Bombyx mori: one gene and its partner. The protein of the gene in region 1 purifies or fractionates together with the protein of each later gene. This does not show direct contact. Links are inferred from orthologs where the notes say so. Each region holds a gene or a part of one and is shown in the gene's direction. Other genes may lie near its edges.

Region 1 (4,452 bases):
TATCAATATAAAATGCTCCGTATACAAAATGATAGTACGTATAAAAACTGCTATTAAATTTTACAAGGGCAAATACCTACTGTTTCCTAAAGTAAGCTACAACGTAACTACGATACGTATTTATAACTTCATCGAACCGTATCTGGCTTGATCCCACCGGGCTGTGCTTTCTTTGTTGGATCTTGGTTCATGGGCGGACCTTCCGCTACAGGTGCCACTATTGGTGGAAACACAGAATTTATTGCGCTTCGTTTATAATAATACTGCTTGGAATACTGGTTATCCGGGCCACGAGGTATTTCTGGCGTAGGTACAGACCTCGGGGACATAAGAGGAGGAAATCGTCCGTGAAGATTGTGTTTTCGACCTAACAAGATATCACGAAAAATTTTAAGCCCTTTAGAGATGTCTCTGAAATCCCACTTTGGCTTAGACATATCTTACACTGTAAATCAATCAATCTACAGGCAAAACTTTTACTGGTTTATATGCCAGATTTATAAAATTAATGAAAGTTTGTTTATGCGGTGATGCCAATCAAAGTAAACATAAATAATTAATCATATAAATCATACGTCAATTATTTACTACTTTTATTTCAATTGTTTTGATGTATGAATTATAAAAAACCTGAAACTCCATCGCGGAGGCAGCAGTTGGCGCTAGTCTCTTAATAAAAAAAAAAAAATTAATCAATCATTATGAATGATATATTAGGTATTTAATCCTCTAAGTCTTTAAACGTTACCTCCGCTATTACGTCCGGAGTTGAGCATTTCAAATTTTTCATTTTTACTTTCTCGTAATTAGTACCTACCTATTCACTGACTTTTACATGACGTTTAAATTTCGGAACTCCCGTAATAGAAATATTCAGAGCTTGCCCTTTGCTAAAGAGCTACATATTTAATACGAGATTTCTTTTTTACTGGTGGTAGGACCTTTCGTGAGTCCGCACGGGTAGGTACCACCACCCCGCTTATTTCTGCCGTGAAGCAGTAATGCGTTTCGGTTGAAGGGTGGGGTAAACGTTGTAACTATACTGAGACTTTAGAATTTATATCTCTAGGTGGGTGGCGCATTTACGTTATAGATGTCTATGGGCTCTAGTAACCACTTAACACCAAGTGGGCTGTGAGCTCGTCCACTCACCTACGCAATAAAAAAACAAAGATTACTTCATAGACACGAGCTTCGAGCTTATAATTTTTTTATTCTCTAATGGTCCATTCAGAATACATATTATTATGTCTAACTTTCCTGACCTATAAAACGAATTCCGCACTTGACCAACACTAAATTCCGTTGCATTTAACTTTTCCTACAACAGACGTAAGGGTTTTTGTAAAAGATTTAGCTGTATGGACTATGACTTCTTTGCCTGTGGATCGGACGAATTTTAAAAATAAAAAATCACTAAGTGCGTTAAAAAACTATAGGTATTTACCTAAAACAGAAAGTAATACTTAATTTAAGAAATTGAATATTATATCTTCGTCCTTAAATCACCAGAACAAAACCAGCTTATCTCTGAGAGTAAAAGAGTTTAATCATGGTTTGGATATCAAACTTAAGGAATAACAAAGTAAAACTTTCCGATCTTACATCATAGTGTTTATGATAAAATAAAACTGTGATTCAGGTTTTAGAACGTGTTTAGAACTCCCGCGTATTTCATCAGCTGTCAAAAGTTCATCGTGTTGTTGAATACATAGTTGAGTAGAATGTGTAATTAAAACTATTGAAATATTATAAAGATAAGTACAACTATTAAATTGTTAATAAATTCAAATTATAGTGGTTCATGTTGTGATTTGTTGGTTAATAAACTTTATAAAATGAAAGCAAACAAACCCCTCGATGAAACTGATGTGACTCCATCGAAAAAAAAGCTAAAACAAGCTCGTCTTCCTTTCAAACTAATAAGTGATATTTCCCCTAAACCCAAGTCGCCGCCGACTAGGAAAAGAAAGCTTTCGAATTCTGATACCGAAACAGTTACAAAAATAGGAAAAATATCGAAAGAAAATGATGTTCAAGAGCTGGTCATAATAAGCGACGATGAAAGTAAAGACTCGAAAAAAATGTTAAGCGATGACAAAATTGTAAACCCGTACGTTAAATTGGTTGATGTTGCTTGGAAGAAAAAACAAAAATTGAACAGTGCCAAAAGAAAGCAAATAAAAAAAAAGAATTCAACAGACCTACCCAAAAATGATCAGAATGACACAGATGAAAAGAGCGATGAAGATAAAATGAATGTTGATGAACCAGTGGATAGTCCAGAAAAAAATGTAGACATGACAATTTTAAGTAACAGTACTTCAAGAGTTACAGATAACGAAATTGTTATATTGGAGGACTCTAGTGATCAATTTGATACTAAAATGAAACTAGAAGCTGATATTGAGCCAAAAGCAAATGGCCGGAAATCTCCAAGAGAATCTAAATCTAATAAAATTGAACAAATTGAAAAGTCTGCTGAATACCAAAAGTCACAAAAAGAGAATCCATTAAAAAAAAGGAATGAAAAAGATAGAGAAAGTATATCTTCAGATGAACTAGAAGAAGCTTCTGATGATAGAGACAAGATTGCTGAAAAAGCTTCAGCTGAAATTCAAAAAGAGAATAATGTAACACCAAAAAGGAGCAGCCGGAGTGCAACAAGAATAGCTCAAAGTAACGATGCTAAGAAGTCTCCAGTATCCAGTTTGAATGAATCTCTCTCTTCAGATCCTACATCACCAAAACATAGCAGGAGTTCATCAGTAACAAACAGTCAGGCTGATGAATCTTTGAATGACTCTATGTCTGGTAGAAAGAATTTAACACCTAAACAAGTAAGTTTGAAACTGAATTAAAATAACAAACCTTTATATCTTTTTAATATTATGTTACTGCATTATAAGCTTGATGTATTGAGTCATAGATGAGGGAGAAACTTCTACAATTAAGATAAAAAATTGTCTTACTTGATAATTATTAGTTTAGCTTATGACCATACCCTGTTTCTCTGCTGCTTGCCTTAATAATTTGTTTCAACACATAGTCTCATTGTATTTGTTTTTTCTTTAGGACTAAATTTCATGTAAAGCTGAAATATAATTTTTTATTTATTTTTAGTCTGTCACTGAAACCCGAAAATGTCTCATAAAAATGTTTGTTGTGAAAGAAAAACACACTAACAAACATATTGTTGCATCTAGAGTAATATTTAATTATCATTGTATATAATTTAATATTATTTTTATTTCTCTAGATGGGTAGACAAGTGCAAGGTTCAATCGATGTTGAGTGGTTTCAGAGGCCAATAGATATAATAGTGAACATTATCCAGTTATACAGTGATATAAATGTTTATAAATTGGAAATGAACAAAATCATGCGAATTTTGTTTATTTTTACTTACTTAATTTACGTTATACCCAAATAGACCTGTACATAGGTCTTATCCTTTAAATTATCTAGACTTGCATTTATACTGTGTAGAACATTATTATATCCTTTTTCCATAACAGTTACAGAAAAAATTAGAATCTGCCAAAAAGAAAGAAGAGAGAGAGAAAGAAAAACAGGAAAGGGAGAAAAAAAGACAGCAAGAGAAAGATGAGAGAGCCAGACAAAAACAAGAGAAAGAAGATATGAGAAAAAAGGAAAAGGAGGAAAAAGAGGAACAGAGGCGAAAAGAAAAGGAAGAGAAAGAAAAACAAAAAGAGCTTGAAAAAAGTAAATATAAAATATAATCTAAGACACATTATCAAATCACATCAAAGGGTCAAAGTCCATGTTTTGAGTTACTTATTCGTTTTTGAACATTAGTAAAGTTTATACAAAAATGAGGTATATTTATATCTTTATTCATTACTAGCTGACCCAGCAGACTTCGTAGTGACAGACCTCAATTGATAAATAAAAGACCTAAACTTTTGTATAAAATAAACTTAAAACAAACAAAAAGAATCTGTCCCACGGGGGACACATCAAAGGAAAAACAAAATTGTTTGTTCTTATATAATTCTGAGCATTTTCATATTTATTCACCTTTTAAACCTTCTCTGGACTTCCACGAATAATTCAAAATCAAAATTAGCCAAATCGATCCAGCCATTCTCAAGTTTTAGCGAGACTAACGAACAGCAATTCATTTATATAATTAACTTCCAGAAATAAGGGATGAAAAAGAGGAGCAGAAAAGGAAAGAAAAAGAAGAGAAAGAAGAACAGAAAAGAAAGGAAAAAGAGGCAAAGGAGGAAGAGAAGAGAAAAAAACAAGAGGCTTTAGAATTAGAAAAACAAGAACAAGAACTCAAAAAGAAAAAGACTGTTGAAGCATTTGTCAATTTTTTTGTTCCAAAACAAAAGTCGGATAAAGACCAAGCCACAGTTGGTTCAATCAGTAAAAATAATATGCTATCTAGTTTTACTTTAAAATTAGACATGAGATTAGCACCTA
Region 2 (4,299 bases), on another chromosome or scaffold:
AGTATTTGCATTATAATTATATTAATCATGAAGCAGAGTGTTTTTTAAATAGCCCCTCACCTACATAACCCAAGTCCCCTCAAATTTAACCGTCCAACACATTTAAATGTTTAGTTAAATATTAAATCAACTAAATTTTATTGATTTAACTTATTTCCGAGATCTGGCTTAGCCCAGCCTTGTTATAGTGACACTTAATAATAAATTAAATGGCATCACTGGCTTTTTTATTTACATAATCGTCGGCAGCGATAGTCTAATGCGTTATTTAACGCACGCTTAGTAGGTAATCTCACGGAGCCGAACCTGAAAGGATTTGCTACCAGTGGGCCGAGCAAGAGCGGTGCTTTGTTGTATCTACCACCGGATCGGAATCGCAGCCCACTGAACAGAAGCAGAGAGAAAATTAGCGGGCAGGCTAATGATATAACTGTGGTAATTGTGTTAAAAAATAAAATATAATCTTCGGATGTATATACTGACTTTTTATTTTTACATGAAACAACACAACTAACTACTTGTTGTTAGGCAACAACTATTCTTTTTTAATAAACTTATGATGGTTACAAATAGTAAGGCCAGTTCTAAGAATAACCTCTAAGGGAAATCGTAGAAATTTTATGACAGCTTACTGGACCTTTTGGATGAACCTGAAAACATTTTATTCGACATTAGCGTACTCTTACAAATTTATGACGACTGAAAAGGTCTACTTGGAGGCAGTTGAAGAAGAAAAGGAAGAAAGACAGATGACAGTGACAGAATGTGGAGAGAAGATTTTTTTTATCATAAAAAAAAAATCACGGTGCCCGCTATAGAAAGCAGAGTATTAAATACACTTGACATTGGCGAAATCTAAAAGGAAACGCCATAAACCTAAAAGATAGATAGTTATCTAAAAGCCTTTATAAAACTGATTGTGACATTAACATAAAAACCATAGTGAATAAGAATATTTAATTAAATATACCCTACATGAAAGGTCTTTATACGTTTAACTTTTAAACACCTTCATCATCTTACTTCGTTTTGTGTAATTCCAATTCATCTAGTTTCGTGTAGATTAAAAACAATTTATGTTACTTCTCTCAACGAAAAAGTCTCAGTAAAAAATCAAATACTTAGACTATATTTCATCCCGTACAATCTCGTTTTAATTTCATTTTAATTGATTAATAATAATATCTAAAATTCATCAACTTCATTTCATTTTGCTCCATTAAATTTTTCATAAAACAGATTTTACAGAATATTGGGGTGTACGGTACGATACCTTCGCTTTTCCAGTTGAAAAAATGGGACTACCGCTAGGTAAAACTTCAATTTGACACTTTTGTTTTGGCGCCAAATAACTATAAACAGTAAAAATAAGCTAGCTTCCTAACAATTATTGTAGAAATTGATTGAAATACATCTTATCTTATTTGGATTTAAATTTATATTATTACTTCGTTTACCATTTCTATTAAATTTTAAATATTAGAAAAAAATGAAGTTTGCGATACCAGAAATATCCTGGCATAATCGTGATCCAGTTCTAAGTGTAGATTTTCAGCCCAAAGCGGAACCGAATGACCCGTTACGACTCGCCAGCGGTGGAACAGATTCACACGTTTTGGTAAAACTATCTTTTAATAAGAACGAACAAATAATCATTTATATTTTTATCAGCGATTATTTATACTAATGTTATTGAAAAAAAATTGAATTTAATACTAAAGTAGGATATAAAGTCTATATTTTTTTAATACTAGATCTGGTATTTATCAACCACGGAGACGGGTTCAGTTCATCTTGAAGTAGCAGCTGATTTAACAAGGCATCAGAAAGCTGTGAATGTAGTGAGATGGTCACCTAATGGACAGTTATTGGCTTCTGGGGATGATGAGTCCATCATATTCATTTGGAAGCAGAAACTGGAAGAACTTTCTCCGGCAACTGAGGGTGAGGAGCAATATAAAGAAACTTGGGTTGTTTATAAGGTGAGATTTTCTTCATTATCTACTAGATATAATCTGGCTATACATATTCCACGTAATGCCCAATTGTTCTTAGCCTCATCTCTTTTCAGTTACATACCAACCAATACCAAGTATACACTTTCTTTTTTTTTTACAAAATTTCACTCTTGGTTTGCTATTAAAAACTTATAGGTATTCTGTTTTCAAAATGTCATTAAAAATGCATTAAACCAAAGAAAGCCCAGAAACCCTGATTTTCATTTTGCAATAGTATTTTTGTAACAAATATCTTAAACGTACACATTTTACCTAAACATGTGGCTATTTTGAAATGTGGTGGCTGATTCTTCATCTTTTAAAAAGCTAACCTAATTACAGTCAGTCAAAAGTACTGAACAAAAACAGAATTAAAATACAATTAATATGCAGTAATTGTCATGTTTACATGAATAGCATAATTATTTCAAATTTATAAAGAGTAATGGTAAGAATTATTCCACAAAACAGACTCTTCGAGGGCACATGGAAGATGTCCTTGACATATCCTGGAGTATGGACGGCTTACAGTTGGCTTCTGGCTCAGTAGATAACAAATTAATTGTTTGGGACATACACAGAGCTCGTTACACTACTATACTTAGTGACCACAAAGGGTTTGTGCAAGGTGTCTGTTGGGATCCTAAAGGACAGTACATAACATCTACGAGTACAGACAGGTAAGCTGAAAATAATAATTTAAAACAATAATTTAACAGAGTAATCTCATCATAAGTAGTTACAAATATTAATGATATCAAATTAGTTGTAAAAAAGTAGCTTCTATACCTGATGAAAATATCAAAAAGGTGATGATTGGAATAACAAAGTTAGCACCCTTGACTGCTAGACAGGATTGTTGGCTTGATGCCTGCTTTGGGCAATTTGCATCTAGGTGTTTAAATCTATATTAATATGTTCATATGAGTTTTTGTTTCTCATAGTAGAGGGAATCCTAATTTGATTAATTGATTATTCATTCAATATTATAAAAGACTTGAAAATGTAATGTAAATAGTTCATATCAACAGAGTGTTTCGAGCATTTGATGTATCTACCAAGAAGGTTGTATCAAGAAGCAGCAAAGCATCTCTCCCGTTCCCCACTGACCATCCTCTCCACGGCTCCAGACAACGGCTATACCATGATGACACACTCCAAACATATTACCGACGACTGCAGTTCAGCCCGGACGGCCTATACATTGCAGTTCCAGCAGGGAGAGTGGAGCCAGAGGGAAAACCTGATGTAAAACCAATCAATGCCGTGTATATCTATACGAGATATTGTTTGAAAATGTGAGTATTTTAATTCATTGTTTTCAGAATCCATAGACTCAGATGTGACAAGCTAACTTTTTGCTTTCAATACGGTTTCCAGATTTGAAATTGCACACAATTGCATGATAAGGTTGTTTTAAAAATGTTCAAGCTCAACAGTTTTATTCTGCTGATAGAAAATATCAGATTTATTTGTATGGCATGTGATATGTTGCAATTGGAGAACTCAGTTGACTTTCAGTTCAAGATTTCTTTATCTAGTTTAAATAAATAATAGCAGCTAATAGCTTCCACTCATCTATAATGCAAAAATTTATTTAACCAAGGCTCATGGTTGCATCTTCACTTGCAGCATGTTGCATGAGAGGCACTCATATAACTGTCCGTTACAGCCCAGTGTGTGTGGTACCATGCGGCGAGCCAGCCCTGGTGACCCGCTGGTCGCCGATAGGGTTCCGCCCCCGCGCCGCCGGGCCCGCGCCTCGCCTGCCGTCCCCGAGCGGAGCCCGGCACGTGCTGGCCGTGGGGACCAGGCGCTCCGTGTTGGTGTACGACACACAACAGAAGACTCCCATAGCCATAGTTGCCAATGTACATTACACTAGGTAACCAACTATCTTGATAATACAAAATAACAAAAAATTATTAGTAATAGTGGTTTAATCTTGACAGATAGATACCAATAATATTTTTTTTATTAAATGCTCAACATATCAAGTTCATAACATTACATCCATGATGTACTAGTGATATAGTTTTGTAAAATTAAAGAAAATTTCTGCTCGACCGATTGAGGCATGTGAACTCCCATGAGAATGGATCTTAGCCAAAAAGGAGTCGCAAATTTACCAACTGGAGAAACTTAGATACCTACTATAATCGATTTTGTTAATTTAAAATCTTGAAATTTATAAAACATTTCACATTAATGGATCTGTTTTGTGGTCACCAAATGCATAAACAAGCATGAGATTAGACCATATAGCTGATTAATAAATTTTTTATTTTTGTTTTTATTAATG

What was found.
Region 2: the proteins of chromatin assembly factor 1 subunit A (region 1) and chromatin assembly factor 1 subunit B purify together in Drosophila melanogaster (affinity purification with western blotting; 3 studies listed by BioGRID, with this or other methods). This does not show direct contact. The link is inferred for Bombyx mori from reciprocal best matches to the Drosophila melanogaster genes Caf1-180 and Caf1-105.

The regions. Positions count from the first base shown.
Region 1 is NC_085127.1:6,282,117-6,286,568, reverse strand, and holds the start of chromatin assembly factor 1 subunit A, read left to right. Parts: upstream 1-1,640; 5' UTR 1,641-1,838; coding exon 1,839-2,840; intron 2,841-3,518; coding exon 3,519-3,726; intron 3,727-4,164; coding exon 4,165-4,452. Other genes in the region: uncharacterized protein LOC101735561, read right to left, coding at 138-217, 749-776.
Region 2 is NC_085118.1:948,160-952,458, forward strand, and holds the start of chromatin assembly factor 1 subunit B, read left to right. Parts: upstream 1-1,317; 5' UTR 1,318-1,489; coding exon 1,490-1,618; intron 1,619-1,754; coding exon 1,755-1,982; intron 1,983-2,468; coding exon 2,469-2,677; intron 2,678-3,028; coding exon 3,029-3,295; intron 3,296-3,669; coding exon 3,670-3,882; intron 3,883-4,299.